2 linked regions of the Arabidopsis thaliana genome follow. The protein of the gene in region 1 interacts with the protein of each later gene in a pairwise test. Each region holds a gene or a part of one and is shown in the gene's direction. Other genes may lie near its edges.

Region 1 (16,069 bases):
GTTACCTCTATATCGAAACCCTCAGTTTTTGCTTGCTCAGCTGCCAGGCCAAAGTTCAAGCGGTCACCAGTATAGTTCTATTAACAATATGTAAAAGAGAAACTAATTTAACCAAAGACACTGAAGGATAGTCTTTCAAAGCTATTGATATATACATAAGAATAAGTCTAGCCATGTTTTATTTACCGTGACAACCAAGAGGCATCCTTTTGGACCAGTTACAGCACGAATCCTCTGGAATTGGACAAAGATTCATCATTTTCTCGAAAGACACAAGAGAAGGAATAAGAAGAAGAAACGTTATGTGGGAAGAGTTACTTACAGCTAGGATGGAATCAACAGTTGGCGAAGCAAAAACATCTCCACAAATAGCAGCTGTGAGCATTCCTTCTCCAACATACCCAGCTTGTGCTGGTTCATGCCCACTTCCTCCTCCTGTTTCAAAAATGGCATTGCATAACACGAAAACGAAACTCAATTTGTAATAAAAAAGAATTGGACAAGTAAACTCCAACCTGATATAACGGCAACCTTGTCATAATTTGCAGCTGAGACATCAGCTCTTAGTACAACTTTGATCTGTGAATTCATCATAAATAAGCTGAGATTTTGCACACATCCATGGAAGGAATCGAAAAAAGTGAATTTTTTTAACCTCGGGAAGACCATCCAAATACTGAAGTCCAGGATAAGTTTCGACGAGACCTTCGATGAACTCGGTTACAACATCTGCAATAAACAGCTTATGTTCATTCTCTCTATCAATTGATATTTCAAGAGCATGCAACTACCATATATGAGATAAACTATCTAGAACAGAGAGCTAGCGATTCGAAACACAAACGGAGACGAGGGATCACGAACCGTTGGGGTTGTTGATGAATTTTTTAGCCGGAGGAACCATGGTGCTAGCTAGCTTTCAAGGATATAAAAACCATAAAATCGGAGAAGTTCATACGGAGAAATAAAGAAGAGAAAAAATTGAGACTTCAAGAGTCAACAATGGCAGAGAAGAAGAAGAGAGTGACTAGTTTCTGTATTTGTTCTTGAAAGCTAACCGTTAAATCGAAATAAACCGATAATCAGCACAATAAAACCGGTATATGGAGATATTGGGCCGGAGGTGAGAGCCCATTAAGTAAGAAAATAACTTAATTAGTAAGATAAAGAAAAAATGGTTAAGCATAGGCACGTGTTCCACGCACACGGTTCGTCTATTATTATTCTTCGTCTACTTCACACGGAATAGAGATAGAGAGAGAGAGAGATCCAGAAAAAGACGAACAACAATGGCGTTGCAATGGCTGATTCTATCGTATGTGGTGGCCGTCGAAGTAGTAATCACCCTCGTGTTGACTCTCCCTTACCCTATGCTTCTTAAGAAACGTGTAGTTCAGCTTGTCTCATTGATTCTCCAACCTGCTGCTTCCATCGTCGCCTTCGCCGGATTTCAGCTCCTCGGTAACCTCCTCTCCTCTCTCTCGCTCTATCTATCTATTTCGTAGTCGGAATATGTATAGTTAGGGTTTTGAGCCGCGAGTGATTCTGTGGATTTGGTACCTTTGTGTGCTTTTGCTTATTTGGTTTTGATTTCATTCAGATATTTACTGGAAGGCTGAGCATAGACTATCTTGTTCATCTGAGGTTTGCACTGCTACAGAACGTGATCGCTACGAGAAATCTGTAAGTACCATTCCTTGATCACCTTTGTCTTTGATTCTTCTATAGCTGAATTCTATGTGTATGAATCTTTTTTTGAATAGTAAATTGTTAGATTTGTGAGTTTCATCCTTGTCATTTTCTCCCATCTTTAGTCTAAAGATCAATATTTGTTAGTAAAACTTCTGAGAATTGGCTTTCTTTGTCTGAGGAAGTTGCATAGATTAGAGCTACAAAACACTGTCTAACTTGTTAGTGTCAATGCATTTTTTTAGGTCTTACCCTTCATTGATGTACTCATATATCTTTTAATCGTAGTTCTAGCTACTGTCAAATAGCAACATGTGACTTTCTTTATACCATCGGCACGATTGTCATTCATAGTTCAGTTTATACTTTGCTCTTGTGAATTGTTGGCAATTGATTCTTGGTGAAGCTTCATCACCACTCTTGGATGTTTAGTTCATCCCTCAGTTTTCTGGTCATGCACTGTATTCAAACCTTTTTGGGTATGCAGTTGCGAGTCGCCAGGATCAATTATACATAGTGAAAAACTGAAAATCAAACACTTGGATATTTAATTCACCCCTTAGTTCCTTCTCTTTCCCTGAAATGTCTCAGCTTGCTTGCTAACGAGTTGTGCGTTTGCATTGTACCACAGATCTACAAGGCTCAGAGGAACGTGGTTCTATGCGCTGCAGGAATTCTACTCTACTGGTAAGTTGTAACATCATCAGCTATTATCAGTCACTCACAGACAGGGTCTCGCGTAGTTTTATTGATATCTCTTTTATTCATTGACAGGTGCATCTACCGCATCTGCAAATACAACAAAGACCTGGAGCGCTTGGAGGCAACGGAGAAGAGATTCAAGGAAGAGTAATAATCTTCACGAGTATAGGGAGTTGGTTCCTCAAAACCATTATATAAGTAAAGCTTTTTTTTATTGCATTTTTACGTTCTAATATTATTGGACCTGAATGAAACTAAGAGTATCGTGAACAGCCTTTGCACACTATATGTGTATATCATCAGTGTCCATTTCTTTGATCATATTTCAAGAACAACCTTAATTTTTCATGTCCAGAATTATCATTTACAGACACTAATTTTGTTAAACAACAACGATGCACTTCAAGATGTAAACGAGAAGAATAACACAAACTGATCGCGAATGTAGTATTACCATAAAATGGGTATTGATATTAGTTGGTCAGTTCACAGTCGCATATATTACAAACAACAAATCCCCAAACCCTCTCAAAGAATGTGGCACATCCTCATAAACCACAGAGGCCATTTCAGTTCAGTACGAAGTGATACCTTGAGTCTACATGGCTCTCCACGTCCCAGAGGAAAGAACCAAACGTCACAGCCTCCAACACAAGCCTCTTCAATCCCTTGAAGCTGATCTTGATATGCTCGTCCTTCGAGGAATCAATAGTGCCTTGTGGCGTTATCACAATCTCTGGCCTCCCAAACAATGCTTCTGTATGCTTCTCAATTATCCCAACCGATTCTCTAGATCTTATTGTAGCGTACCTTTGAAGGGTTTCTCCATCAAAGGACATAACGTATGTCTTTAACCGGGATTGCTTCATATCACTGCTAAAACCGCCACTGGCATTGATCCCTCCTACAAACGAACCAACGTCTTGGTTTGAGGAAACAGCCTGATAAGTCTCTTCTGCTTCTTCATAGAAGTTTCTCTCTACATCTCGGCCTGCTTGCTCAATGCTAGTCTCACCTTCATCTGACCCACCTGGGAGAATCCTCATCGTCTTCTCAAGCTGAAACCTTTGATCGATCCTCTTCAGGAAATACCCATACATCACCGAAGCAGCATATACCTGTCCAACTCCAAGTTTGCTTATCTGCGCAACTGCTGTCAGATCATCAGTGCGGTTTTTAAGAATGATGGAAAGATGATTCTGAATCATCTCATAAACTTCAGGCGAGTGAAGTCTCTCAAGTTCCCCATCTAGAGTTGGCCAAGTATCAACTCGACCAGATGGATCCGCAGATGAAGAGGTTATGGATGGTACAAGTGTAACATTAGCATCCATGAACTTCTGAACCACTAACGCATACAAAATCTCTTCCAAGGCCCTTCTTCTCTCTTTCTCCTTAACTTCAGCAATTCTCCTAAAGACCCAAGAAACAATCTAATTCAATATCCAAACCTATATAATAGCCGAGTGGTAATTAATATCAGCATATGACAAACCTGTAGAGAACAATGTCTGTTCCAAGGACAGAGGATGCATCTTTACTCTGTTCTTCAGCGTCTCGATCAATTTGGAGCTGTTCAAGCTGCTGTTCAACAGCTGCTGGAACAAGATGAGGATGGCTCACTAATATCTGTGACAGAAACTGTCCCACAGGAGACTTCAACTGAAGCGGCGCGATTGATTCTGTTGAAGCATCACCAGAAGCTGAAGCTTTAACCACAAAGCTTCTCCGAGATTTAACACAAGTTGTTCCGCTTTGAAATGGTCTCGAGAATTTAAGAGAAGAGTTTTGCTGCATACAGAGAGACAACAGATTCAAATTACAATATAGTCAAGCCAATTTTTTTACTTATGAGAAATTTACACGAAGAAACCTTAAAAGTTCCATTTTTTTACACAGAATCTGAATTCTCGAATTTCATTGGAAGATATACGATTATGGGGTAGATTAAGCACAAACAAAGATGATTCGGGAAAGCTATAAATGTCAATGTTGTCTAGGGTTTAGTAAATCAAACTCAGTAGAAATAAGACCTACTCTGAGACGAAATTGAGGTCCGGAGCTAATTCGCATGAAGCCAGGACAGTTGGGCGTCGAAAATATCAACCTTTCGGAAGTTTGACGCAGTAAGGAAGGAGATTGAAACAAATTCGCCGCCACAGCGTCCATGATTAGCCTCTGGGAGAAGCAAAAAGTCGGAACTTTGGCCAGAGAAAGGAGAAATGAAGAAGAAACCTAGAATGTAGGAGAAGATGATGTCGATAAATAGTGATTAAACCGGTTAGTGTGGATGGTTTATGACTCTTATCTCTTCCAATAATACCCACTCACGTTTTTTCTTTTGATAATTACGGGAAATTAATTTCGTAATTTTTCATGTTTGACACAATAGAAGTTGGGCTCATATTTATATTTCTCAAAGCCCATTAAGCGGGATTTTAGACCATTATGGGAAACATATATAGCCCAGAATACGACCCATCAAGACAATTAGGGTTTCTCTCGCCTTTCGCGTCTAAAAAGTTTTACCCCAATCGGTGTGTAAGAATGTCGTCGTCGTTTCTATCTGATTTTTCGTTTCTCAGTGATTTCGTTTAAAAAAAGTTATTTTGTCTTCTGTGAATCTACAATTTTTTTAAAAGGTTTTTCGTTTTTGCTAATAAAATAAGAAAAACGGTGGCGATGATGAAAAAAAGGCCGGACTTACGGCTACTACCACCGTGAAAGTGTGGTGGGTAGTAGAATGATGCTAAAGTATCCAAAGGTTACAGCTGAGCCTCCTCTTTCTACAACTTCACCCATTTTTATCCGATCTTCACTATTATTTTGCCTCAACTTCTTTCTCAATCAAAGTTCGGTTTAACGTTTCGGTTCGGTTCGGTTATATCGGTTTTCGTTTTTTTTGTTAAATTTTTTGGAAAAGTATGCTGAATTGATCCGATATTAGGTTCGGTTCGGGTAGGTTCGGTTTTCGGGTAATTCGGTTTTTAACTGGGTATGTGCAAAAAAAACCGAAATAACCGAACAGAAGGAAATACATAAAAAAAAATTGGGTTTGTGCAAAAAAAAAAATTCAACTGGGCCAAGCTAAAATACATAAAAGGCCCATTGTAAAACCATAGAAAATAAATGCAATCAGAAGGACAGTTTAATTTTTAACCCATTTCAAAGAAAACAATTCCAAAAAATAAAATGTCAGAAAAGAATTTTCTTTTAGAATAAAGACAGTGAAGAGATTTATTTCAAAGCCTGGGTTTAAGCTGCTGAGAGAACACAAAAAACCCTAACAAAAATGGAATCGAAAGCAATTTGCTTAGGGTTTCTTCCTCCAAGACTTCGATTTTCATCTCCACGTTTACTCTCTCTTCCTCCTTCTCCTCCTGTAAGTGAAATTTAACCATCAAAATTTCATTTTTTTCCATTTCGATTCTTCCAAAACCTTATCCTAAAATTTGTCAATATCTCCTGATTCTATAGGCTTCTTCCACATTTGCGACGCGTCACAAACTTGATTCCAGACGTAAGTATCTCTATCTTAAATCCTCCTACTTCACCCAGATTGTAGCATAAAGACTGATCCTTTTTCTCATTTTCATTCTTGTTTAAGAAACCCTCCTTTGGAACAAACCGCAATTGAGCCGAGTTCGTGTAGCGTGTTCTTCTTCTCAATCTGACTCAAGACCTGAGAAGAAGCAATCGGATAAGAGTAACTATGCTCGAGCTGAGCTGTTCCGTGGGAAATCAGGTTCTGTTTCTTTCAATGGTCTGACTCATCAGCTGGTTGAAGAAAGTAAACTGGTTTCAGCTCCGTTTCAAGAAGAGAAAGGTTCTTTCTTGTGGGTTTTGGCTCCTGTTGTTTTGATTTCTTCGTTGATTCTTCCTCAGTTCTTTCTAAGTGGTATCATTGAAGCTACCTTCAAAAACGACACTGTTGCTGGTAGGTCAGGTTTTACTACTGCTTTAATGTTTAACATCGGATTATGACTTATATGAATCCTAGGAAGGAACAAATGGAGTAGAAGCTATCTATCTTAGTGGTGTTACATCTGCTAACTCATTATGTTTTAGTGTAGTAGGCTTTGGCTTTGAGGTTTTGATAGGCTTAGTACATGTTTTCTGATGTGCAATATTAGAATCCTTTTTTTCACTATTATCAAGAACACATGACCTGAGCCTTAGAAAGTACCTAAACGAGATCTCATAACTCTCCTAAAGCTAAGAGACTTAGCAAATGATCTATCTCTTGTTGTATGATACTCATTTTGATGCTCTCTCTTATTATAATTTCTTGATGCAGAAATTGTTACTTCTTTTTGCTTTGAGACGGTGTTTTATGCTGGTCTTGCGATATTCCTGTCTGTGACTGACCGAGTGCAGAGGCCGTACTTAGACTTCAGCTCCAAGAGATGGGGTCTGATCACTGGACTGAGGGGATACCTTACGTCTGCATTCCTCACGATGGGTTTAAAAGTTGTAGTTCCCGTATTTGCTGTTTACATGACTTGGCCAGCTCTTGGAATAGATGCTTTGATTGCAGTGCTTCCTTTCTTGGTTGGCTGTGCAGTTCAAAGAGTTTTCGAGGCTCGGCTTGAAAGACGTGGCTCATCCTGTTGGCCCATTGTTCCAATAGTCTTTGAGGTAAACTTATATTCTGATTTTGACCATTTTGGTCTTAAGTTTGTCTGCCCATCTTCTTGTGGTCCATGATGTTGTAGTCTTGTTTTGAGTAACTATGGTTGTGTATGTCATGGCAGGTGTATAGGCTGTATCAGGTGACAAGAGCAGCGACTTTTGTTCAGAGGCTGATGTTTATGATGAAAGATGCGGCAACGACTGCTGAAATAACAGAGCGAGGAGTTGCACTAGTTGGTTTGGTTGTGACTTTGCAGTTTCTAGCTGTTATGTGTCTCTGGTCGTTTATCACTTTTCTTATGCGCCTCTTTCCTTCTAGACCTGTAGGTGAAAACTACTAGATCTCAGTGTTTAGTGATTGTTAGATGTAGCCAAATCCCATCGGTTTTGTTTTGTTTCTGTGTTCATTTCAGTAGTAATGAATTGTATTAAGTCACTTTAAGAATTGGTTGATCATGTGAAATGAGAATTGGCTGGAAATGTTATAGAACGATCCTACTTAACTTCAGTATTTGATGAGATTTCTTATTGGAGACTCTTGTGACCCCTTCTCTAAAGTTTCAATGTGTGAAATCACAACATAAGTAACACAACAATAGATGGGTCTGGTCTCAGCTTGTGTTTTGGTCCTTTGTATGCAACAATAGAGAAGCTGAATGCTTATCCACGTGGAAGATTTGTGCCTCCGATAGGTGTCTTTAACAGTGTGACGTGTCTGTATTGTTTCATTGATGAATCTGTTACACCGTTGAGTGATTGATTCTCAAATAAATTGGTCCCAAAGCTTTTTATCAATATGTGATGGTTATTAATGGATACTTAATAAAAGATGCCATTATACTAATCAACGATTATTGTTGAGAAAACAATAAAATAGGATCTCAAGAGAAATAGCCGCTTCTATAAAAATAGTGAGAGTGACTGAGATCAATAGAACCAATCTCAGAATCATCTTCTTTCTCTTTCGGAACAAAAATGACGTCTCCTCTCTCAGATCTCCTAAACCTTGATCTATCAGACACCAAGAAAATCATCGCTGAATACATATGGTTCGATCCCTAATCATCTTTTTGTCACTTAAATCTATAGAAAAGTCTCTCTATAACTCGATGCATGTCATATAGATTCTTGATGTTACACACTTGTGATCTTGCATGTCTCTTTAAACAACATTGTTTTGTTCTGTTTTTTCATGAGAACAGGATCGGTGGCTCTGGAATGGATATTAGAAGCAAAGCCAGGGTAATAATACCATCACATTATGTCTCTCTAGTTTCTATAATAACCAAACAAAAATTTAAATTCTGTTTGTTAATAGACATTACCAGGACCAGTAAGTAATCCAACAAAGCTTCCAAAATGGAACTACGATGGATCTAGCACCGATCAAGCTGCCGGAGATGATAGTGAAGTCATTCTTTAGTAATCTTTTTCATCCCCTATTCATAACATTTATAAGTAAAGTGATATCAAAAGTATCTTTAAAATAATTTCATTTTTTTGGAATGAATTGGAAAAAAAAAGTCCTCAGGCAATATTTAAGGACCCATTCAGGAAGGGGAACAACATTCTGGTTAGCCCACATAAAATTTTGAGCAAAAGATTCATCTGTTTTATTGATTAGTGGGTCTTTAAAATCAATGTTCTTGAATATATCAGGTGATGTGTGATGCTTACAGACCGGCCGGAGATCCAATTCCGACCAACAATAGGCACAAGGCCGTAAAAATCTTCGATCATCCCAATGTGAAGGCTGAAGAGCCTTGGTAAGCTAAATACATAGCCTATAGAAAAATTCAAATGAACTATAATCGAATTTTTTCAGTTTGTTATGGTGTAGAACAAAAATACCATAGTTTGACCAATTCAAAATATATTGTAACATATATTAAAAGTTGTTTAACATAAGCACTGTTTTGGAATATATTTCAGTTTAGTTGATTCAGTCTAGGACTCATTTTGATACTTTGATGTGTTATATAATAGGTTTGGGATAGAGCAAGAATACACATTACTTAAAAAAGATGTGAAGTGGCCACTAGGTTGGCCTCTTGGTGGCTTTCCTGGTCCTCAGGTACACTTATGATAAAATTCATACACTAACTCTTATTACCAAGAACAAGTTTCTTATCTCGGAAATATTGCTTTTTGTGTGTTTTGATGAAACAGGGACCGTACTATTGTGCAGTAGGTGCAGACAAAGCTTTTGGTCGTGACATTGTCGATGCTCACTATAAAGCTTGTCTATACTCCGGTTTGAGTATTGGTGGTGCCAATGGTGAAGTCATGCCTGGACAATGGGAGTTTCAAATCAGTCCTACTGTTGGTATTGGTGCAGGTGATCAATTATGGGTTGCTCGTTACATTCTTGAGGTAAGAAACCATTACAATTTTATCTTTGTTTTTATCAAGTTTCATGGGCCCATATTTCTGCTATGTCCTATCTTATTATCGATGTGGCATTCCTAACAATTTCTTTGCGCTCAACTTTGGTTTCTTGCACTCTAATATGAATCATTGTGTTTTTTTTTTTTGGCAGAGGATTACTGAGATATGCGGTGTGATTGTCTCATTCGATCCAAAACCAATCCAGGTTTCGTGATGATCAAGACTGTTTTGTTTGTAGCTATAGCTTGAGAGTTTTCTTGAATGTTCTTTTGTAGTGAGGTTGTTATCTATGGTGGTTAATTAATTAGGGTGATTGGAATGGAGCAGCCGCTCATACGAACTTCAGTACAAAATCGATGAGGAAAGATGGAGGACTGGATTTGATTAAGGAAGCAATAAAGAAGCTTGAAGTGAAACACAAACAACACATTGCTGCTTATGGTGAAGGCAACGAGAGGCGTCTCACTGGGAAGCATGAAACTGCAGACATCAACACTTTCTCTTGGGTATATATATGAAACCAAATCATATAGTTACGTTTTGGTTTATGATCTATCTCTATGTAACTTTTATCTATCGAGTGTAGGGAGTGGCGGATCGTGGAGCATCGGTGAGAGTAGGAAGAGATACGGAGAAAGAAGGTAAAGGGTATTTTGAAGATCGAAGGCCTTCGTCTAATATGGATCCTTACCTAGTTACCTCCATGATTGCTGAAACCACCATCCTCTAAGCTTTAGACTTTTCTTCGTTTTGGTTCTTTGTATGTTCTTCGAATTTCGGTTTGATATGGTTTAATTTCGCATTTAGACTTTTCTTTCAAATAAGTTACGAAATGTTATGTGATTTCTATTGTTTGATCCGGTTACGGTTCACTTTTAAGCCAAAAAATCTACCGTTATGACTCGAATAATTTGTAACCATCATCCTCGGCTAAGCTTTTTAGTTACATTTGAAGTCATTCAGTGAAGGGCGTTTGCATTGTACCATAGCATCCATATTAGATTATGTTTGAATAAGGGCATTGACCAGGAAAAAAACAATTGAACGGGCCTGACTTTATTAGCCCATATATCAAATTTACCGTCCGTTATTGTTCTTTTACTTTTCTAGTTACGTGTTGGTCCAAAAGAAAGGATTGAGAAACAAGAAACTTGTATACATATCTAGAAGTTAGAACCCATTTCGTTTCAAGCCTAATTAACCTCTACCGTTATGACTTGAATTCGAAGCCGTGTCTATGCAAAAGTTGACCAAAACATTGATTTTTCTTTTCTTATATTCAAGATTCAAGCTATGTCATAGAAGCTACCCTAAAGCTACATGCCTACATTATGCAGTTTTCGTCCATTGATGATTGATCTGTAACGTTTAATTATCAGGTTATAAGCATACACACATTTTTTCCTCGTCTATGATACGGTGAAAGCATTAATATAAGCTATAAGATTATATATCTCGTAGTCGAATGTATAAGTATTTTTTTGTTTTTACTGAACGATGTATATATTATACTTGGATTAATATGGGCTTATAGAGGGATCTAATTAAGAATTAGACGTATCTTGTGGTCAGGTAAAGTCAGTAGATACGTTCACGAAATTCATGTAAAATATATAACTAAATAAACTACTTGATTGGTCCACCTGCACGCATATACTCAACTACATATATGTATATATATGTTCATGCATGTTACGTATAGTTTATTATTGTAAGCCGGTATTTTCTTCATCACAGAAATAAATCAATATAGACGCCAAGAAAAACAAAACCAACTAGAAAAAGTCATTTAATATTTGAATCTTTTACGAGAAAAATAGAATTATAAGTTTCTCGAAACTATCTAACAGAAATTCTCTCCGACCAATGAAGAATAATCAATCTTTTTGGGTATTTGCTCTGGTCTTTCACGAGCAAATGAAACTTATAATTAATGGTAGTATTTGGTGAGAAGAAAAGGAGCCAAACCACATGAAAGAAAAAAAATGTAAATATTAATTGTAGTTGTCGTTTCGTTTCGTGTAACGCCCAACCATGTATCGCAGCACGTTACAGCTTCCTTTTGTTGCTGTATGTGTAAATGATCTAACCTAATACCATACTATTGCAAAGAAATAAAACTATTCCTTTGTCATATACTACTAAATTCTAGGAATAGTTGACACATAACCATAAACTTAAAAGAATTTGTAGATTTCTTACCTCCAAACGGAGTAGGACATGTAGTACATCTTAAAACTAACAGAAAATAAAAACGTTACAAATCATGATCTTGGCCCCTTATAGATAGTCATGATAGTTATCGACAAATAACGTCTAAGCATGCATGCATATTATTGACAAATTACACTTGAGAAAGTTGTATATTTTGAGATCAAATATTTGATAATATGCGCATGCACAACTTATATGGCATCTAACAAATGGTCCCGGACTATAGTAAAGGATGATACATATTATAGGGCCAATGTCGAGAATTTCTTAGATACAAAACAAAACTAAAGGAGGTCTTGTTTACAGAGTGGCCGAGACAGACACAAAACGAAGAAGATTTATTCCAAAAACTTTAATGTAATCAAATGTGGTTGTGAATTTGTGATCATCTTCTAACATGTTACGGTCCTACCAACTCTCTACCCACCCTTTTTCTCCTTTTTTAATTCTATATTAATATTATCAACAACTTCAATCTTATTATACTCCATAACTTAATTCTCTATGTTCCTTAATAATCCATTTTCTAGAGAACAAATGGTTAAGAAAATGTATATTTTTTTAATGTTGTGTATGCATTTTTATCAGGTATTGATGATGAATCGTAAATTTCAAAATAAAATAAAATAAATACTATTGGTTAAGAATTATAGAAAATTGTAATTTCCAAAAAATATATTTATAATCAATTTTTAATATGTTTTTTCTTATGTGTCAAAAATCTAAAAAAATAGATTAATTAGGAACATATAACTAGGGTTCTCAATTATCTAGGAGTCTTTATGCTAATTACAGAATTTAGATTAATATTAGTCTGTTATTTTACTACTTAAAACTGATATTTTAATTCCATTTACTGACAGTAAAAAAAACAGAACAGAAAAAAAACAATGAAAGATGGAAAAAAGGAGAAGAAGAGGATTAGGCTGTTGACTGCTTTCACTCCTTTTACAGCTCTCTTCTTCTCTCTTTAATAATAAAGTTTTCATTTTTATACCTTTCTCTCTCTCTCTCTCTCTCTTCTTCTTCTTCTTCTTCTTCGTCTTCTTCTCTGAATAGTCACAATGCGAGTCTTCTTCTTCCCCAACTCGTCCATGGCGATTCTCTCTGTTTTCCTCTCCCTCCTTCTCCTCTCTCTCCCTCTTCCATCAACTCAAGATCTCAACGCCGACAGAACCGCTCTTCTCTCTCTCCGCTCCGCCGTCGGAGGCCGTACATTTCGCTGGAACATCAAACAAACCTCGCCGTGTAACTGGGCCGGTGTCAAATGCGAGAGTAACAGAGTCACCGCTCTCCGCTTACCCGGCGTTGCTCTCTCCGGTGACATTCCAGAGGGTATTTTCGGTAACTTAACTCAGCTCCGTACACTTAGCCTTCGTCTCAATGCTCTCTCTGGCTCACTCCCTAAAGATCTCAGTACCTCTTCCAATCTCCGACACCTTTACTTACAAGGAAACAGATTCTCCGGCGAGATACCTGAAGTTTTGTTCAGTCTCAGTCACCTCGTGAGGCTTAATCTCGCTTCCAACAGCTTCACCGGAGAAATCTCTTCAGGTTTCACGAACCTCACGAAGCTAAAGACTCTGTTTCTAGAGAATAATCAACTCTCTGGTTCAATCCCTGACTTAGATTTACCTTTGGTTCAATTCAACGTTTCGAATAACTCGTTGAACGGTTCTATACCTAAGAATCTTCAGAGGTTTGAGTCTGATTCGTTTCTACAGACTTCACTTTGTGGCAAACCGCTTAAACTTTGTCCTGATGAAGAAACTGTACCTAGTCAGCCTACTTCTGGTGGAAACAGAACACCACCGAGTGTTGAAGGAAGTGAAGAGAAGAAGAAAAAGAACAAACTTTCCGGTGGAGCTATTGCCGGAATTGTGATCGGATGTGTGGTTGGTTTCGCTTTGATTGTTTTGATACTAATGGTGCTCTGTCGGAAAAAGAGTAATAAGAGATCAAGAGCTGTTGATATCTCAACAATCAAACAGCAAGAACCTGAAATTCCTGGAGATAAAGAAGCGGTGGATAATGGTAATGTCTACTCGGTGTCTGCTGCTGCAGCTGCGGCGATGACTGGAAACGGAAAAGCCAGTGAAGGGAACGGTCCAGCGACGAAGAAGCTTGTGTTCTTTGGTAACGCGACTAAGGTTTTTGATCTTGAAGACTTGTTGAGAGCTTCTGCGGAGGTTCTTGGGAAAGGAACGTTTGGGACGGCGTATAAGGCAGTGCTTGACGCGGTGACGGTTGTGGCGGTGAAGAGGTTGAAGGATGTGATGATGGCTGATAAAGAGTTTAAGGAGAAGATTGAGTTGGTTGGTGCGATGGATCATGAGAACTTGGTGCCATTGAGAGCTTACTATTTCAGCAGAGATGAGAAACTTCTTGTCTATGACTTCATGCCTATGGGAAGCTTATCAGCTCTCTTACATGGTGAGTTCATATCGAAACTTGTGCTTAGATTGAGTTTGGTTTCTTTTGAGGCAAGTCAATGCTTTTAGTGCCTATAGATAGGCTTGAATACATTTAGATTATGGTTAAGTTTAGTGCTTAATCTCTTTGATCATTGATTCTTAACATTGATATGATTTCCATAATACTTTGTATAGTTTCTGTGAATTGGTAGGGACAATGTGTTTAACATTGGATGCTTTGATCTATGAACAATGATTACTACTCTAAGACTTTGGTTTGTTCTCTTTAGTTTCTATAATTGTCTTTTGTCTGTTAACAGGAAACAGAGGAGCGGGAAGGAGTCCACTAAACTGGGATGTTAGATCAAGAATTGCTATTGGTGCAGCTCGTGGTCTAGACTACCTTCACTCACAAGGCACTTCAACATCTCACGGCAACATCAAATCCTCAAACATCCTCTTAACGAAATCCCACGACGCTAAAGTCTCAGACTTTGGCTTAGCCCAGCTCGTGGGATCATCAGCAACAAATCCAAACCGCGCTACGGGTTACCGTGCTCCAGAAGTAACCGATCCGAAACGCGTGTCGCAGAAGGGTGACGTGTACAGTTTCGGAGTGGTGTTGCTTGAGCTGATCACGGGTAAAGCTCCTTCGAACTCGGTGATGAACGAGGAAGGAGTTGATTTGCCGAGATGGGTTAAATCGGTGGCGAGAGATGAGTGGAGGAGAGAAGTTTTCGACTCGGAGTTGCTTAGTTTGGCGACGGATGAAGAAGAGATGATGGCGGAGATGGTGCAGCTAGGGCTTGAGTGTACGTCACAGCATCCGGACCAGAGGCCGGAGATGTCGGAAGTGGTTAGGAAGATGGAGAATTTGCGACCTTATTCTGGTTCAGACCAAGTGAACGAAGCTGATTAAGTCAAAGATTCTTAATTGTTAATTTATTTAATTTGAATGAAATGGTTGGGGAGAAATCAGGTTTATAATTTTAATTTCTAATTTTTGACACAACTTGTCAAAAAGGAGAAGGGGTTTTATTATTAGTGGGTGACTCTGCTGGCATTTGCAGTTGTTTGTGTTGGGCGTGAAGGGATTTGGTGGTGATTTGTAATTATTGTTGTTGCTTCCCTTTCTTAAATCTATTTTCTAAATTGTTACGTATCTTTTTGTCTCTTATGTTACATGTGAGTGTGACTTTTATATCGTAATATAAAGTTGTATACTGTGGTGGCAAACGCAGTTGGTCAGTGTTTTATGAAAAAGATGTGTTCAGTTTTTCGAACAAATACAAAATTGTTTTGATATACAATATTTTTTGGTTGGCCACTTGTGGAATGCCTTTTCCCGGCAGTGTGTTTTGATCATTTGAAATGAGAAAGGTTAGTGTTAATTTATACTAATTTAAATTGCAGTTTAATTTGTTCATTTTTATGTTGTTTCGGTTCCGTATATTTTGCACTTGTTTAGCTTATTATGGTAGATGGAAGTTATATGTAAGAACATGTCATATCAATATAAGAACATGCTTATTATTATCTCTTGCTATCAAAGTGACCCACATCTAATTTAGTTTTGATGGAGAGACAGCTAAATATACCAAAAATAAACACTCAACACATGATTTATGAAAATGAATTGAATGAATACAGAATACCTAATTTGCTATTATGTAAATGTGGACAACTCTTTTAATATTGGGTTGTCAACCATTTTGAATAATTCTTTTTGGTTCACAAAAACCACTATGACTTTTTTTTTTGGCTTGCAAACATTGACAGCTTTAAGAGTAAAGCATTTAATGCTAAAGGTATAAATAGGTGAGAATGGGTGGAACTGCAACAGTACTAAGGCTGCTATAATTGTATGACTCTTTTAGAGAGGTCCCAAAGGTACACATGATAGAGAGGGACCATAAAGAGATATTGGTTTCAAGAGAGAAGACGACATTAAGATAGTGATGATTCTATTTTATGTGCGTTGTCTCTTTACCTACATTTACGGTTGATGCGGCTGCTAATTGCCAATACAA
Region 2 (17,836 bases), 5.6 Mb from region 1:
CTAATCGCCGCCGGTATTGCCGTCACTTCCTCTCTATGGCTTAACAAGGTAAATCATTCTTTTCACTATATATACATAGTTCACACTATCATGATAACTATTATTCATACTTTGAATTATTGTTTGTTTATCAAAGACGACAAAAGCATTTGATCGACCGACATTAGTAGCAACAAAACCAGAACCGGAGCTAGAGCCACCGCATGAAACCGGAGTATTGGTAAATTGCACAAGTTTCTTGAATCAAAACCGGTCCGGTTCTTGCTCAAGAACACCTCTACTTAACAAGGTAATTCTTCTTCTTTACTTCCATGATTATGCCTAATATATATGTTCATGATTGAAAAATAAATTATGACAACATTTTTTTGTTACTATAGAAAAAACCATCTCATCGACCGACAATAACAACAATAAAACCGGTCCCGGTACGTGTATCAGAGAAGAAATCACCGGAGGAAACCGGAAGCTCGGTAGATTGCTCAAGTTTCTTGAATCAAAACCGGTCTGGTTCTTGCTCAAGAACACTGCAATCGGGTTATAATCAAAACCAAACCGAATCTAACCGGTCTTGTCCTGATTACTTCAAGTGGATTCACGAGGATCTAAAACCATGGAGAGAAACAGGGATAACAAAAGAAATGGTGGAAAGAGGCAAAACTACAGCACATTTCAGGTTAGTTATTTTAAACGGCAAGGTGTTCGTCGAAAACTACAAGAAGTCTATACAAACTAGAGATGCGTTCACACTATGGGGGATTCTTCAGCTGCTGAGAAAGTATCCAGGGAAGTTACCTGACGTGGATCTCATGTTTGACTGTGATGATCGACCAGTCATTAGATCGGACGGTTATAATATATTGAATCGTACGGTTGAGAATGCGCCACCTCCGTTGTTTAGATATTGCGGTGATAGGTGGACGGTGGATATCGTCTTTCCTGATTGGTCATTCTGGGGATGGTAAGTACTAGAATATAATCTCTTCTCACTTTCTCCTTTTTTCTTCTTTTGTCTGAACTCTGAAGCTAACGTGTATGGTTGTTAAGGTACACTTGTCCCCACTTGATCACATGCCGGAGAAAAGTTACCGGGTCCATTTTTTCATTTATACACAAATAGATTCTTTCGTGATTCTTAATAGATTCATTTTGTTGTATTATATCTTCTTAAGAGTATAGTAGTATAGCTAGTTAGTGGCTAAAATTATAGTAATTTAAAGGGACGAAAAGGTAAGTCCAAAAACAATATTATCCCTCCACGCAATGCCACTACAATTTAAATATGTGGTTGTAAGTTGTTTATCACTTATTATGCTTTAACTAAAGTGTTTCACTAAAGTAACTTTAATTTCTTGTGTCATTCAATCTTTCCAGCAAAACATGAAGTGTAAAACCAAAACCATATTGGTAGTTTCATAACTATTCATTTAAACATGTTTTCTATCAAATTAAGTTCTTATTTTTTGAATGAAATTGAAATGAAATGGAATAATTTTGGTGGGTGAAGGCAGGAGATAAACATAAGGGAGTGGAGCAAAGTGTTGAAAGAAATGGAAGAAGGAAAGAAGAAGAAGAAATTTATGGAAAGAGACGCCTATGCATATTGGAAAGGGAACCCTTTTGTTGCATCTCCTTCAAGAGAAGATCTCCTCACTTGCAATTTATCCTCACTACATGATTGGAATGCTAGAATTTTCATTCAGGTATGCTTCTATAATCAGATTTATTTATACTTGTCTTCCTATGCAATATATATATATATATATATATATATATATATTTTTGATTTGTATTTGCATGCAAATAGGATTGGATATCAGAAGGACAAAGAGGATTTGAGAATTCGAATGTAGCAAATCAATGCACTTACAGGTCAGTACCATTGTCTAAAATTTCTTCTTCCTTTTGTGTCATTTAATGATTGGAGTAATAAAGTTACTATGTAGGTACAAGATCTATATAGAAGGGTATGCGTGGTCAGTGAGTGAGAAATACATATTAGCATGTGACTCAGTCACATTGATGGTGAAACCTTATTACTATGATTTCTTCTCAAGAACTCTTCAACCTCTCCAACACTATTGGCCCATTAGGGATAAAGATAAATGTAGATCCATCAAATTTGCTGTTGATTGGCTTAATAATCACACTCAAAAGGTACCCTTCTCCATCTTTTTTATAATCTCTTTCTACATTATCTTACTTATATGAACATGATCATTTTTTTTTTCTGGATCTATTTATAGATATGTATAATACAATATCACATCAAACTAGTTCGTCAAAAATAATTAGGTTTTGAAGAAAAATAAAGGGTTTATCTGTATTATGCAAACAAAAGTATGTTGTATAGAATTTTTTGATAAATTCAATCACATATATAACTTTGCCTACGATTTCATAGATTTATTTGATTTTCAGGCTCAAGAGATAGGAAGAGAAGCAAGTGAGTTCATGCAAAGAGATCTATCAATGGAAAATGTTTATGATTACATGTTCCATCTGTTGAATGAATACTCCAAGCTTCTTAAGTACAAGCCTCAAGTTCCAAAGAATAGTGTTGAGCTATGCACAGAAGCCTTGGTGTGCCCTTCTGAAGGGGAAGATGTTAATGGGGTTGATAAGAAATTTATGATAGGCTCTTTAGTTAGTAGGCCTCATGCTTCTGGCCCATGTTCACTTCCTCCTCCTTTTGATTCCAATGGTCTTGAGAAGTTCCATAGGAAGAAATTGAATCTCATCCGGCAAGTGGAGAAATGGGAAGACTCTTACTGGCAAAAGGTTCTGTAAAGTGATATAATCTAAATTTGATGATCTAAGTTTAGTTGGGGATTTTTATAGTACCTTTTTTTATCTATTGGATAACGTTAGATTGATTATAATTTTGAGGAATTAAAATTCTTTCTTATAAACAAATGAGATATGTACTATTTTCTAATAATTTACTTATCTTTCACTGACTTGACAAACAAATGCAAAGTTCATTCAATATAAATCTTATAAGCATGATTAATTATCGAGTAATTGGAACAAATTGTTTATGAGAATAGTATCTTAAACTCACCATCATATGAAATAATATATAAAATTTCAATAATTTGTCATGTCAAAAAAACTGTGATGTTAATATCGTATTAGCCATTTGGTACCAACTTGGTTACTAGTCGTCTTGGTGGAACAAACGTGTATCGCCTCTCAGCCTATCTTATATACACACATGACACGATCATATGTACATATCATCATTAATTATCTAGTTATTTATTATTTACATATTAGTACAAAACATTTACTACTCTTTTACCGAAAATGATTTAATGATAAATTCTCCAAATGGATTTAATGGTTTAGTTGTCTTGCTGAATAGTCTATACTAATAAAGAGACTCACAAAAAAATAAAAAGATGATCAATTTTTCAAAAAACAGAACCCAATAAAACATCATCCTTTATAAATATTTTGAGATTTTTTTGATATACCCAATATTTTGAGATTTTATCAATATGAAATTACTGTATGTGGTTTGTTCATTTCATTAAATGTCGTTTTCTCTTCACACAAGCACGGCGGCGGCGGTGAATACTTTTGAGTTTAACTCAGATTTAAGATTTCTCTCATGCGAAAAAGATAGTGTAAGACTGATAAAAACTTAAAACACACATTTTAAAAAGAGAGAGTTAAAACACATTAAAATCTGTTACAATTGATGTCAATGGTTAATACTACACTAGAAATACTAAAAAGAACATGTTAAGAAAATAGTAGCGTGTTGCACAAAAAGAAAAGAAAATGGTTGATCTAACACTGAAATAACTTCTTAAATTTCACGAACACTATAAAATTTGCAGATTAATAAAAGTTCAGTTATTAAGTTATATCAAATTATTCCGAATGCGTGTAAAACCCACAATATTTGCATACCCGGTTTAGATCTAAACCCGAATACTGTACATATAAGCTCAAACCTTAATTTGAGATAACTGCTGACTTCCAAATTCTGCAACATTAAATTATTAAATCCATTGGAAAAAGGGTACTAATCCTTTGGTTAGAAAGTATGATTGAACAAGTGCCCCGTATTTAAATTTGATGTCATCACAAAGTTGTGTATTCATGATGGTTCTTATCAATTTCCCTTAGCATCTACTCAATGTTTGCTTGTAAGCATTGGGCGTGACGACAAGGGAACCTTCATGTCCAAACTGTAACAGAAGTGTATGTATATATTTAATTAGAAAATATTCTTAGTAATACGTTTTTATATCTTGATTATAAAAATTAAAAAAACAGTAGAAAGTATATACCATACGAATTTTAAGTGCATAAGCAGTCAAAACATAAACATAAATGATACAAGAGATCTAATCATCTAATGGGATGTCGACAAGTCTTAGAAACAAATATGTGTGTACGTTTATATAACGAAATAAATATAACACGAAAATAACTTAGAAACAAACAAATTGGGACACGCATGGGTAATTTGTCCCCTTCTCTTGTTTGTTGTTCAATTAATGAAGTTACGATCTCTTGAGGCCAATTATATAATTTATATAAAGACTTATTAAAAAAAATAAGAAACGTAGAATGTACTAGAAATAAACGAGGGGTTAGTTGGATTCATCTAAAAATGTTTATGTAGATTTTGTACCAAACATTAAAAATATATGTTGTGTAACTTTGTTGACAATTAAAAGAAATTATTTAATTGATAGAGTTGTTGAGCGTTGTATCTTTTAAACCATTTGATTTTCCCTACTTTATTGTGTTAATTTGCATAATGTTTTTTTCTAATATTCTGACATTATGTTTGATTTATTTCCATGAAACAACAATTGTTTCTAGAGAAAGCTTAATGGAGATTTTAGCTTTTTTTTGTTTTTTCTTCATTTAGTCCCACAACATCATAGTCATGATTTTTCGAACTTGTGAATTGTGATAGTTAATGATTCTAACTTCCAAGTGGTAACAATAAACCTAAAATACGGAGAGTATTCGTCACGCGCTCCAAGCATAAGCTCGCATGATTGGTGGCGTAACTTTCATGGGACATTTTGTCTCTCACACTAAAAATAATAATTCTTGTAGCATACTATATTTAAATAGCTTATTATTATAATTGACAAATACGTATTATTTGAAGTTTGTTTATAGCCTTCACGATACTATTTTATTACAATGAAATTGAATTTACTAACAAAATATAATTATTTTATATATTAGTATTGCATGTTAATATGTTGACCGTTGATTAAAATACAATTTAATGATCATAGCTGTGATCTACAGTAGTACGGTATGTTGTAACAACAGCTTAGCAAGGCTCTAGATCACCGTAGTGGACTAGTAGACACTAGACACCGTGACCGTACCACGAAAAATAAATTCTCTTTATAAATTAAACGCACTATTATTTCAATGATTAGCAACAATATTATACTCTTAATTAGGAATCTTCCAACGAAATTTATTCATTTCTACCATTATTCTAATGAGATGTTCTCTTCCATTTTACGTTCGAATAATAGTCTGTCCTATTATTAATTTTTTGAATATCTAAAAATTCACTACTAAAAAATTTACCTCTTTCAAAAACTAGATCCACATTAAATTAGTGAAGAAAAATCTACGGCACACTATTTCCATCAGTAAAAATAAGGAAAGTTTTTCAAAAAAAAATATATTAATATTTTAATCAAAACAAATATATTAATTATTATTTAATAGTTGAACTAATAATATGATGACATCTGTACAAATTTGATAAGAATAGTTTCTCAAAGTTTCTCCTCCGAAAAATTTAACTCTCCTTCTCTCCTACTTTTTCTCACCTCTCTCATATTTTTTTTTTTTGCTCTTACTACACAAATACCACATTAGTATCTATAATTAATAAAGTTAATAAAAATCAGGTTCTAAAATAATTTTACTCTTACATAATAACGATGATATTGGAACATTACACTTGATGCACAATTTTTTTTGTATAAAATTTACATTTTATTTTAAAAGTAAAATAGCGATAATATATATTTGAATAACAATACAACGATTATCTTTTCAACAGATCATTTTTTTAACACTAACAAATCATTTTTTAATTTACTGTATATTACAATTAAAATCTCATGCAAAAATACAGTTGTACATATGCCCCTAGATTCCTGATATAGAAAGATTTGGATATTTCCTTATTATTAATTTGGTGTTAAGCTTTGCCACATGATTGATGTATATATATTATTAATATAGATAAATATATTTCTCACTTATATAAATGAATAGAAAATCGATCTAAAAACTAAACAAACATTCATGTAAAAAAAACATCCATAATTCAGAATATTTAAAAACAACTCAGAGTCACATAAAGTTGCCCAAAGTAAAAGAAATAAAAAGATAAAGAGGATGAGAACATTCTTCCTTTCTGTGATATTTTTTATTTAAATTGTATATTTTCATAGCTATTTTTATTCTATAAAAAAATTAAAGCTCATTTTTCCCCTCCAACAAGGAAAAACAAAAACCTGTCTTTGAATCCAAGTCTCTCTCTCTCTCTCTTTCTCGCCACACTTCATCATCTCTGCTACTTTTTTTTTGTTCTCGTCTCAGTGAGTTTTCTTTGATAGGTTTATTGCTAAATCAATCAAATAATCTTGTCCAGTTTCACTTCTCTTTTACCATTTCCTTGTTCCATTCTTCAGCTTCTCTCTCTCTCGCTCTTTACTTTACTAAACTTGGTCTCTTCTTGAGCTTATACATCTCATTTCTGCAGAGAGTACTTGTCAAAGAAAGTTGTCGTCTTTCTCCAGATTCTTCTTGAGCTTATACTGTTGATCATCCGTGAAAGAATCTAGGTTCCGCTTCTTTTTTAATGAGCCGAATTTGAAGGAATCTTTCAACAGACGATGAGATCGAAGTATTTTTGTTCGTTAGCTCTTGTTCTTGGTCTCTTCTTCGTTTCTTGTGATGGGTTTGCCTCTAATGAAGGTAAAACTATTTGTTAATCTCTTTGTTTTGTGTTACTTTTCTTAAACCCAGATCTCAGATTTCAATTGTTTTCTCGCTTGTGTTAGGTTTACTAAGAAAATGCTAGATAAAGCTCATACCTTTTTAGATTCTTCAGTCTCCATGAATCTCTCTGTGAACAACTTTCTAACTTAACTTGAACAGAGTTGGGATTAGTGTAGAATCTTAATCAACCTGAAAAAGTTTTATCTTTTTAATGGATAAGATCAGAAGAATCTGTGAAGTTAAAGCTTTTAATTCAAGGTCTGATCATATAAATCATCTAATAGATTTATGGATCTTCTGCTCTGTTTTTGTTAGTTCAAGCACTTAGAAGATTCAAGGAAGCTATCTATGAGGACCCTTTGCTAGTTATGTCTAATTGGAATGACCCCAATTCAGATCCTTGTGATTGGACCGGCATTTATTGCTCTCCATCTAAAGATCATGTTATCAAGATGTAAGAATCTTTCATCTTTTCTTCTTTCTCTTGCGTTTACTTATTCTTGTATAGTATCTGCAGAATCAGTTGTTTATGAGTGGTTTAGGATGAAGTTGGCTTGAGCTTATAGCTTGTGGATCTTCTTTTCGTGCAGAAATATATCCGCTTCATCGATAAAAGGGTTTCTTGCGCCGGAATTGGGTCAAATAACGTACCTGCAGGAACTGTACGGTTTCATCTCTTTCACAAATATGTAGTTTGATGCATTGAGTTTGATGCATCTCATTAACATCATTAAAATGCTTCTGTAGAATCCTACATGGGAACATTCTAATAGGGACAATACCTAAGGAGATAGGAAACTTAAAGAATCTCAAAATCTTGGACTTGGGAAACAATCATCTTATGGGACCGATCCCTGCAGAGATCGGGAGTTTGTCCGGCATCATGATAATGTAATAAAGATTCATCTTTTTCGCAGTCAAAGTGATGCTTTCATATCTTATTAACAGATGAGTTGTTGAGACGACAGTTTTTCTTTTCACATTTTACAGCAACCTTCAGTCCAATGGTTTGACTGGAAAGTTGCCTGCAGAGCTCGGTAACTTGAAGTACCTTAGAGAACTTCATATTGACAGGAATAGGCTTCAAGGAAGTCTTCTTGTTGCTGGAGCATCGGGCTATCAGTCGAAAGTGTAAGTTTAATAGCTCAAGAAGCCAAAAATGAAACACTATGTGACTTCTGTCTATGATGGCAATGTTAATCGGGTTTTGTTTATTCAATTTATTTAGGTATTCTTCAAATTCAAGTGCAAACATCGCTGGTTTGTGCAAATCTTTAAAAGTAGCTGACTTTTCATACAACTTTTTCGTGGGAAATATTCCAAAATGTTTAGAAAACCTTCCAAGGTATTCTATCATCTATGCTGTCTTTTGGAACTCTCTAAGTCTTCAATTTAGTCTTAGAAATGCTCTTTTGTGGTCACTAGGACGAGCTTTCAAGGGAACTGCATGCAAAACAAGGATCTTAAGCATAGATCTTCTTCCCAATGCGGTGTGTAAGATAGAATAATTTTCACTTTATCGACATACATGTTCAATTAGTCTTGGTTTTCTGAATGTTATCCCTGTTGCAGCTAATGCACAACTGGTCAAAACTCATGGAAGCCCGAGCGCTGCTCCTAAGCACCAATCAGCTCAAATGGTGGCTAAGCACCATAGAGCATCAAAACCTAAATGGCTTCTAGCTCTTGAGATAGTCACAGGGTCAATGGTTGGTTTGCTCCTTCTGGTTGCACTTTTCTCTGCAGTTCACCGCTGGAACAATAGATCAACTCTCATCATTCCTTGGAAGAAATCTTCAAGTGAAAAGGAAAAGTTCACAGTCTACGTAGGTTAGAATCTTTCCTAATTCTTTACCTTCCAATGTAGAATCCATGGAGCAAAGAACTAAAAAAACGTGGCATGTTTTTATTTTAACTACAGATTCTGAAATGCTGAAGGATGTTTCGAGATTAACAAGACAAGAGCTCGAAGTGGCGTGTGAAGACTTTAGCAACATCATTGGTTTATCAGCAGATAGTCAGATCTATAAAGGAACGCTGAAAGGTGGGTCTGAGATTGCGGTGATCTCTCTTTGTGTAAAGGAAGAAGATTGGACTGGATATCTTGAGCTCTATTTCCAGAGAGAGGTAGCTTCCTCTCATGTTATCATCATCACCAAGCCACTTGGATTGAACAATCTTTAAACATATCCTCCTTTTTTCTGAGATTTTAAATCCATCTCCTCACTGTTTCAGGTTGCAGATTTGGCTAGATTAAACCACGAGAACACAGCGAAATTACTTGGATATTGCAAAGAGATCTCACCATTTACAAGAATGCTTGTTTTTGAGTATGCATCAAACGGAACACTATATGAGCACCTTCACTGTAAATAGTCTAACTTACCTCAGAGCTTTGTTGCATCATCCTGTATTGTTTTAGCTAGATAACATTTTTATGTGAAATATTTTGATGCAGACGGGGAAGCGGCGTTAGTATCGTGGGCAAGACGGATGAAGATTGTTATAGGCATCGCACGTGGTCTCAAGTACCTTCATATGGAACTTGATCCTCCGTTTACAATCTCTGAGCTGAGCTCAAACGCAATTTATCTCACAGAAGATTTTACTCCCAAGGTAAAGTAAAGTGAGACCTGCTTGTTATCTGAGTAATACAATTAGCTAAGCTAAGCTTTATGTTCACATTCTTTCTTTTTTCTGACTTTCTCTGATGCAGCTGGTTGATTTCGAATGCTGGAAGACAATTCTTGCAAGATCAGAAAAGAATTTGAGAAATATTAGTAGCCAGGGTTCGATATGTGTACTCCCAAACGGAATGGAGAGCCGATATCTTGATGTGTCGGGTAATATCTATGCATTCGGGATTCTTTTGCTGGAAATTGTCAGTGGAAGACCTCCTTATTGCAAAGACAAAGGATTCTTAATTGAATGGGTAAGACAAAAACAACTCAGTTTCTCTAAACACTTGAAACTGAGTTACTTCCTCCTCCTCTTTTTTCACCATTTATATCAAAAACTTTGTTACTGTTAGCCTAGTAGGAATGGAGTCGTCTGTTCAGGGAGAGACGAGTTTTCGTCTGGATGTGGAAGTCTTGACCTTGTTCACATGTTTAGTTATATCGCACCTCAAATGTGGTTTTTGTGGCAAAAGTTTTGAATTTGAAACGTATCTATTGCATTTTGCAGGCAAAGGAGTTCCTTGAAGCACCAGAGGCAATGTCGGGATTGGTGGATCCAGAGCTGAAACATTTTAACCAAGAAGATCTTGAGACGGTATGCGAAGTGGCTAGCCAATGCTTGAACCGGGACCCAACCAACAACAACAACAATCACAACAAGCCCTCAGTGCAAGAGCTATGCGAGACATTGGAGAGCAGAATCAGTCTGTCTATTTCAGCGGAGCTTAGATCATCTTCTTTGGCTTGGGCCGAGCTGGCGCTTGACTCGTGATGAGAATGATGAAAGGAAAGAAAACGAGTGTTGAATGATGCAATGCTAACTAACTAAAAACCAAACTCTCAACTCTGTAAATCAATCGACTGATTACAACATTTGATATTGTTTTTTTTTGCTCTGATCTTGACGAGTGTGTCTGTGTTCTTGATTAGTTTTGAGTTTTGGGTGGTTCAAAGTGTTTGTAAATGAAGAGATGAACATAGTTTCTGAAAGATTTTCTCTATTATTTGAAAATCTATGAGAGGTTGAAGAATGTTAATGTAGTGTGTTTGGATCTAACCTTTAATCTTATATTATATAGAGCATTGTATCTATTGTTTGACATGATTAGTCTCATTGGAAAAAGCTTCAAGGCAATCAATTTGAGATCAATATCAGTCTCAGACAAGTGTTTGCGGACCAAGAAGAAGAAGAAACGTAGTTGAAGTTCATAAATCATAATGCATGGATCAACTTAATAAAAGGCCCACATTTAGCCTCGTATCAGTCTAAATGGGCCACACAAGTCAATAGGCCCATTTATCAATGCTTTGACTGTTTTCAATCTTCAATTTTGGTATGACTTCTTCTTACGAGGTTGAGTGCCATAAAAGATTAGACAGACACGTAAAATAGATTCCATTTTACCTTTAGTTAAAACAGATATGGATTAGCCAAGTTTCGTTAGTATATTGTCATATTATTTTATTGAAACAGAAAAAAACAAGTAAAGATTACTTAATCATTCTTAATCAGGCCTGTTCTTAATTATCAAAAAAAAAAAAAGATTACTTCATCATGTCGTAATAATATCACTAATCAATCCTTTTTTTTTTGTCATCACTAATCAATCCATTTTTTTAGCGAACCTTAAAGTCAAAGGTGTTGTTACTTTGGACGATTAAATTTGAATTATATAATTTAAAAGAAAATTGGAATTTAATCTGTTGAGGTTGAAATTCTCTCTTTTTATATATGGCGGTTGAAATTTAAAAGTAAAGTATTGTTTGGTAGGGCCCTATAGTTTAAACATTTACAAATCGGCCCACACATTTTTGTCATTTTAGATGTCGTAAACCGCTTTCCCTCGTCTTCGTTCCAATTTAAAAAGCAAAACAATTTCAAAAAGTCTCATCATTTCCCATAAACCTAAAAGCTTTTTAAAAACTCAAATTCGATACGAGAAGAACAAGATTCGCGCACAAGACGATCGATTACATGGCGACGAAGCTTTTGTCGCTTACATGCATAAGGAAAGAGAGATTCAGCGAGCGTTACCCTCTGGTGCGGAAGCACCTTACCAGGTCTCGCGACGGCGGCGGAGGATCATCGTCGGAGACGGCGGCTTTTGAGATCGATGATCCGATTTCCAGGGCGGTTTTTCAAGTGTTAGGAATGACTTGCTCTGCTTGCGCTGGATCTGTTGAAAAGGCTATCAAGCGTCTCCCTGGAATTCACGATGCTGTCATCGATGCTCTGAATAATCGTGCTCAGATTCTGTTTTACCCTAACTCTGTCGATGTAAGCTATGATATTCTCTCGAATCTCGGTTGAATTGTTTCTGAGAAGACTTGATTTGGGATTTAGGTTTTCTTTTTCTGTGTAATTGTGGATTTATAGGTGGAGACAATTCGTGAGACTATTGAGGATGCTGGATTTGAAGCATCGTTGATCGAAAATGAAGCGAATGAGAGGTCGAGACAAGTTTGTAGAATAAGAATTAATGGTATGACTTGTACTTCGTGTTCTTCAACAATCGAAAGAGTTTTGCAATCGGTTAATGGTGTACAAAGAGCACATGTGGCTTTAGCAATTGAAGAAGCTGAGATTCATTATGATCCTAGACTCTCGAGCTATGATAGACTATTGGAGGAGATAGAAAATGCTGGTTTTGAAGCTGTGCTTATAAGTACAGGCGAGGATGTGAGCAAGATTGATTTGAAGATTGATGGTGAGCTTACTGATGAATCCATGAAGGTTATTGAAAGGTCGCTTGAAGCACTTCCTGGTGTTCAAAGTGTTGAGATCAGCCATGGAACTGATAAGATATCTGTATTGTACAAACCTGATGTGACGGGGCCGAGGAATTTCATTCAGGTGATTGAGTCTACTGTCTTTGGTCATAGTGGTCACATCAAGGCAACAATATTCTCAGAGGGAGGGGTAGGCAGAGAATCTCAAAAGCAAGGGGAGATTAAGCAGTATTATAAGTCGTTTCTCTGGAGTTTGGTTTTTACAGTACCGGTGTTTTTGACAGCCATGGTCTTTATGTATATCCCTGGAATTAAAGATTTGCTCATGTTTAAGGTCATCAATATGCTCACCGTTGGAGAAATCATAAGGTGTGTTTTGGCTACTCCTGTCCAGTTTGTCATTGGTTGGAGATTTTATACTGGCTCTTACAAGGCTTTACGCCGAGGATCGGCTAATATGGATGTTCTGATTGCTCTGGGGACAAATGCAGCTTATTTCTATTCATTATACACAGTGTTGAGAGCTGCAACATCTCCTGATTTCAAGGGAGTAGATTTCTTTGAGACTAGTGCCATGCTCATTTCCTTTATCATACTAGGAAAATATTTGGAGGTTATGGCTAAAGGAAAAACATCTCAAGCGATCGCAAAGCTTATGAACTTGGCACCCGACACTGCGATATTGTTGAGTTTGGACAAGGAAGGGAATGTGACTGGTGAAGAGGAGATTGATGGTCGATTGATACAGAAGAATGACGTGATCAAAATTGTTCCTGGTGCTAAAGTAGCTTCAGATGGTTATGTCATATGGGGACAAAGTCATGTGAATGAAAGTATGATCACTGGAGAGGCTAGGCCAGTGGCAAAGAGAAAGGGTGATACAGTTATAGGAGGCACTTTGAACGAGAATGGTGTTCTGCATGTTAAGGTTACAAGGGTTGGTTCAGAGAGTGCTCTTGCTCAGATTGTTCGACTTGTTGAGTCCGCACAACTGGCCAAAGCTCCAGTACAGAAGTTGGCTGATCGGATTTCCAAGTTCTTTGTTCCTCTTGTGAGTAATCTGACCAGTTGATAAACAAATTATTTAGTCTTTTAGAGGCACAACTATTTTTTAAACTCACTGGATTATAATGTTGAAGGTAATTTTCCTCTCGTTCTCAACTTGGCTTGCCTGGTTCTTAGCTGGGAAACTGCATTGGTACCCTGAATCCTGGATACCTTCTTCGATGGATAGCTTTGAGCTAGCTCTTCAGTTCGGGATCTCTGTCATGGTCATAGCTTGTCCATGTGCTCTTGGGCTGGCTACTCCAACTGCTGTTATGGTTGGTACTGGGGTTGGTGCATCCCAAGGTGTGCTGATAAAGGGTGGCCAAGCCCTAGAAAGAGCACACAAGGTTAGTTTAGTGTGCAGTAACTTGGTCTATGGCTTTGTAAACTTACTATACTGTATATACTTTACTCAGGTTCTCTGGATCATTTCTTTTCTGAAATGGTGAAACCTGACAGTTTCAATGACGGTGTAGGTAAATTGCATTGTCTTTGACAAGACAGGAACTCTCACGATGGGGAAGCCCGTTGTTGTGAAAACAAAGCTCCTGAAAAACATGGTACTTCGAGAGTTCTATGAACTTGTTGCTGCAACTGAGGTAAACTTTTGGAAACTCCTGGCCTACATCAAAAGTAATATTACTATGTTGATGCTATTTTGTTTATCAGGTAAACAGTGAGCATCCGTTAGCAAAGGCCATTGTCGAGTACGCGAAGAAATTCAGAGACGACGAAGAGAACCCTGCCTGGCCAGAAGCCTGTGATTTTGTGTCCATCACTGGAAAGGGAGTGAAAGCCACCGTTAAAGGTAGAGAGATTATGGTGGGGAACAAGAATCTGATGAATGATCATAAAGTTATTATTCCAGATGATGCTGAAGAGTTGCTAGCTGACTCTGAAGATATGGCCCAGACCGGAATTCTTGTCTCCATAAACAGTGAACTGATTGGAGTTTTGTCTGTTTCGGATCCTCTAAAACCGAGTGCTCGAGAAGCCATCTCCATTCTAAAATCCATGAATATCAAAAGCATCATGGTAACTGGTGACAACTGGGGAACAGCAAACTCAATTGCTAGAGAAGTCGGTATCGACTCTGTTATCGCAGAAGCTAAACCTGAGCAAAAAGCAGAGAAAGTCAAGGAATTACAGGTACTTGAGTAAAAGCTCCACACTAAATGTTAAAAAGTTCACATATATGGAATTGATAAAAGCAATGAATATATATTGCAGGCTGCGGGACATGTTGTGGCAATGGTAGGTGACGGAATCAATGACTCACCGGCTCTCGTGGCAGCGGATGTAGGTATGGCGATAGGTGCAGGAACAGACATTGCTATAGAAGCAGCGGATATAGTTCTGATGAAAAGCAACTTAGAAGATGTGATCACAGCCATTGATCTTTCAAGGAAAACGTTCTCAAGAATCCGTCTCAACTACGTATGGGCTCTCGGGTATAACCTCATGGGGATACCGATCGCTGCGGGAGTGCTTTTCCCAGGGACACGTTTCAGGTTGCCTCCATGGATTGCAGGTGCTGCAATGGCTGCTTCTTCTGTTAGTGTTGTGTGTTGCTCTCTCTTGCTTAAGAACTACAAGCGACCTAAGAAGCTTGATCATCTGGAGATTCGGGAGATTCAGGTGGAGCGAGTTTAAAAAATTGAACTAAACCGAGTACCGGTTATTGAATTTGATGAACCAATAAACAAACCGTACAGTAAGTTTCCACTCCTTATCTAGAATTTAAGTCCATGAACTAATAATTGATTTACTTTGCCTCCATATTTTCGTTGCTTCCCTTTTTCCTATTTGGAAAAGGAAAATATTTGCCTTATTATAAGACAAGAGCAGAGAGGACACAAATAAAGATAAGAAGATTAGGATTATACTTTGAAACGTGATAATGAGAACTAGACATGGCAGCAAAAGGACAAAGATAGAGAAGGAGTCTCGAGTAAGTCAAGTAACGTCGGAGACAAGAAGAGATTGCCTGTGAAGTCCGTAGCTAAGTTTCTCGTTGTATCCAAGTTATTGGCAACAATTATCCGCAGTCGATATTTCATTAGATCGTTTCCCTTTAGGTCTTCGCTTCAGCCACATATACTCTTTGCATTCAAATATTTAGATAACCAAAACGGACGCCAGATTTGTAACTTCTTCACGTATTCCTCGACATCAACCAAGAATCTACCGTATTATTTATCTCTTAGTGCGACATGCTCAATCCCGAGTCCGTATTGCCGCAGGATCAATAATGTTCCTTATTACGTTAATGGTTTGATAAGTCTTGGATGTGGACGAGAACAATTTATATGCAACCCTAGCACAAGTAAGTACATACCTTTACCCAAAGTGAAATCAAGAAAAAAGATTATCCAAAACTTTTTCGGGTATGATCCAGTCAATGGTGAGTATAAATTAAGTATTGTGCATGTCGGAAAAAGTGAATGATTACTGGGATGGTCCATCTTTTGAACATCAAGTATTCACATTGGGAGGAGTTGATAGATCATGGAGAATGATTGAATGCAATAACAATCTTCTTCATCGTCCCAAAACTAACGGTGAGTGCATCAATGGGACAATGTTGTTGCAAGGAGAAAAGTAAACATTTCTGCTTCGTTTTCTTCTCGTATACTATATGTCAACTTTGTGTTTTATAGATTCCTTTTTTTTCCGGATTGGTTGCATAACCCCTACTTTGAATTATAAATTTAAGTTGACCAAAAAAGGCCAGCTAGATAGATCTTGTGTTATTATGGATATATTCACTCGCATCCAAAGTCAAAGTGAATATTCCACAACCATATATAAGAGAAGTTGTTTTCCAAAATTTTAACTTGGAGGCACGTTAATTTAATTCGTTTTAACTACCAAAACTTGGATTATTAATTTCACTATAAGATTCAATGAATACTAAACTAACAAACATTGCTATATAATATTAACATATGCATCTATTTCTATTATCAGGTTTCCAAATCAAATGATTTAAGTTTGTTACAACAAGACGTGCACACTCATTGATCATTTTACTACAATTATGTGACGACGTGAGTGCATGTCCAGATGTCCCTATCAAAACATCTACAAAAGCTTGTACACAAAAGAGAATCCAAAAAACAACCAAACAAGAAAATGCCTGTCTCCGTCTCAAAGTTGAGACGACCAAGAACGTCCAAAAAGACCGAAACCGGAAATCCCGAAAAAACACTTAAAGATCCTCGTACTTGCTGTAATAACCTTTTTTCGATCTTTTCCGCCAGATCATTTCTTTATCGTGTACCTCTCACGATTCTCTTTCTTTTCTTGATTTATCTTTGGTCCACTTCCACGACCGTTATCTCTGGTAACGTCGTTCATATATGCATCTCTTCGCGGAAGCTCACTGACCTTTATTGCCTCACTGCCGGTTCTCAGCCCGCTTTACGTGCACCAGTCAACAATTTCACTGCGCCGGCTAGTGAAGATGTGGTAACAAGTAAAGAAGAGAAGAATGTTTTTGTTCTTGGTAAAGACGGAGACAAGGGTTTCGCAGAAAATGAAACCTTCGAGGGAGGAAAAGATTCAGACAAATCTACGGTCGGAGAAAACCTCACCATCAATAAGAACGAAACTTTCACAGGAGAAACCTCCGGAGAAAGAGTTTCCATTCTTAATCAAGATGCTAAACCCATCCATGAAAAGAATCTTGATTCCGTTCTTGATCAAGATTCTTTACCCAAAAACGAGATTGATCAAGATTTCATCATTGATTGGGATCCAGAAACTGGCGAAGAACGATACCGATATTTCAAAGCGAAGACCGAAGACGAGGAGACCGGTCTAAAATCTACGGAAGAGTATATTCAAATACAGAGAACTTGGTTATCGATGGGAAACAACCGCAAAAAGCCGGGATCTTGCGAAGGAAAAGGTGTATACGTTTACGATTTACCATCTAAATTCAACAAAGATTTGTTGAGGGAATGCTCCGATATGGTTCCATGGGCTGATTTTTGCAACTACTTCAAGAACGATGCGTTTGGTGAACTGATGGAGAGTATGGGTAAAGGCTGGTTCAGAACGCATCAGTATTCACTTGAGCCGATATTTCACTCTAGAATTTTGAAGCATCCATGTAGGGTTCATAACGAGACTCAAGCGAAGCTCTTCTATGTGCCTTTCTATGGCGGTATGGATGTTTTGAGATGGCATTTCAAGAACGTTTCAAGCGATGTGAAAGATGTTTTGCCGATTGAGATTGTTAAATGGCTCGGATCGAAGAAATCATGGAGGAAAAACTCCGGAAAAGATCATGTTTTTGTTCTCGGAAAGATCTCTTGGGATTTTAGGAGGGTTGATAAGTATTCTTGGGGCTCAAGCTTACT

The links.
Region 2: the proteins of GLN1;5 (region 1) and AT1G63430 interact in a protein complementation assay, tested with the Arabidopsis thaliana proteins (one large-scale study listed by BioGRID).

The regions. Positions count from the first base shown.
Region 1 is NC_003070.9:17,905,786-17,921,854, forward strand, and holds GLN1;5 (glutamine synthetase 1;5), read left to right. Parts: upstream 1-7,925; 5' UTR 7,926-7,998; coding exon 7,999-8,072; intron 8,073-8,225; coding exon 8,226-8,265; intron 8,266-8,341; coding exon 8,342-8,445; intron 8,446-8,547; coding exon 8,548-8,596; intron 8,597-8,682; coding exon 8,683-8,789; intron 8,790-9,009; coding exon 9,010-9,097; intron 9,098-9,192; coding exon 9,193-9,396; intron 9,397-9,562; coding exon 9,563-9,616; intron 9,617-9,719; coding exon 9,720-9,917; intron 9,918-9,997; coding exon 9,998-10,141; 3' UTR 10,142-10,316; downstream 10,317-16,069. Other genes in the region: AT1G48430 (Dihydroxyacetone kinase), read right to left, coding at 6-77, 187-234, 323-435, 516-579, 656-729, 865-904; AT1G48440 (B-cell receptor-associated 31-like protein), read left to right, coding at 1,290-1,461, 1,601-1,683, 2,321-2,376, 2,464-2,542; AT1G48450 (alanine-tRNA ligase, putative (DUF760)), read right to left, coding at 2,961-3,804, 3,887-4,182, 4,429-4,560; AT1G48460 (tRNA-processing ribonuclease BN), read left to right, coding at 5,684-5,773, 5,869-5,911, 5,999-6,328, 6,689-7,029, 7,146-7,364; RKL1 (receptor-like kinase 1), read left to right, coding at 12,690-14,058, 14,360-14,958.
Region 2 is NC_003070.9:23,515,988-23,533,823, forward strand, and holds AT1G63430 (Leucine-rich repeat protein kinase family protein), read left to right. Parts: upstream 1-6,509; 5' UTR 6,510-6,908; coding exon 6,909-6,990; intron 6,991-7,329; coding exon 7,330-7,468; intron 7,469-7,604; coding exon 7,605-7,676; intron 7,677-7,761; coding exon 7,762-7,905; intron 7,906-8,004; coding exon 8,005-8,145; intron 8,146-8,242; coding exon 8,243-8,359; intron 8,360-8,439; coding exon 8,440-8,504; intron 8,505-8,586; coding exon 8,587-8,844; intron 8,845-8,935; coding exon 8,936-9,141; intron 9,142-9,249; coding exon 9,250-9,382; intron 9,383-9,472; coding exon 9,473-9,630; intron 9,631-9,730; coding exon 9,731-9,946; intron 9,947-10,128; coding exon 10,129-10,464; 3' UTR 10,465-10,845; downstream 10,846-17,836. Other genes in the region: AT1G63420 (O-glucosyltransferase-like protein (DUF821)), read left to right, coding at 1-48, 137-289, 381-961, 1,508-1,703, 1,808-1,872, 1,947-2,157, 2,422-2,790; HMA5 (heavy metal atpase 5), read left to right, coding at 11,668-11,970, 12,070-13,473, 13,562-13,816, 13,946-14,068, 14,139-14,618, 14,700-15,122; RHS8 (root hair specific 8), read left to right, coding at 16,536-17,836.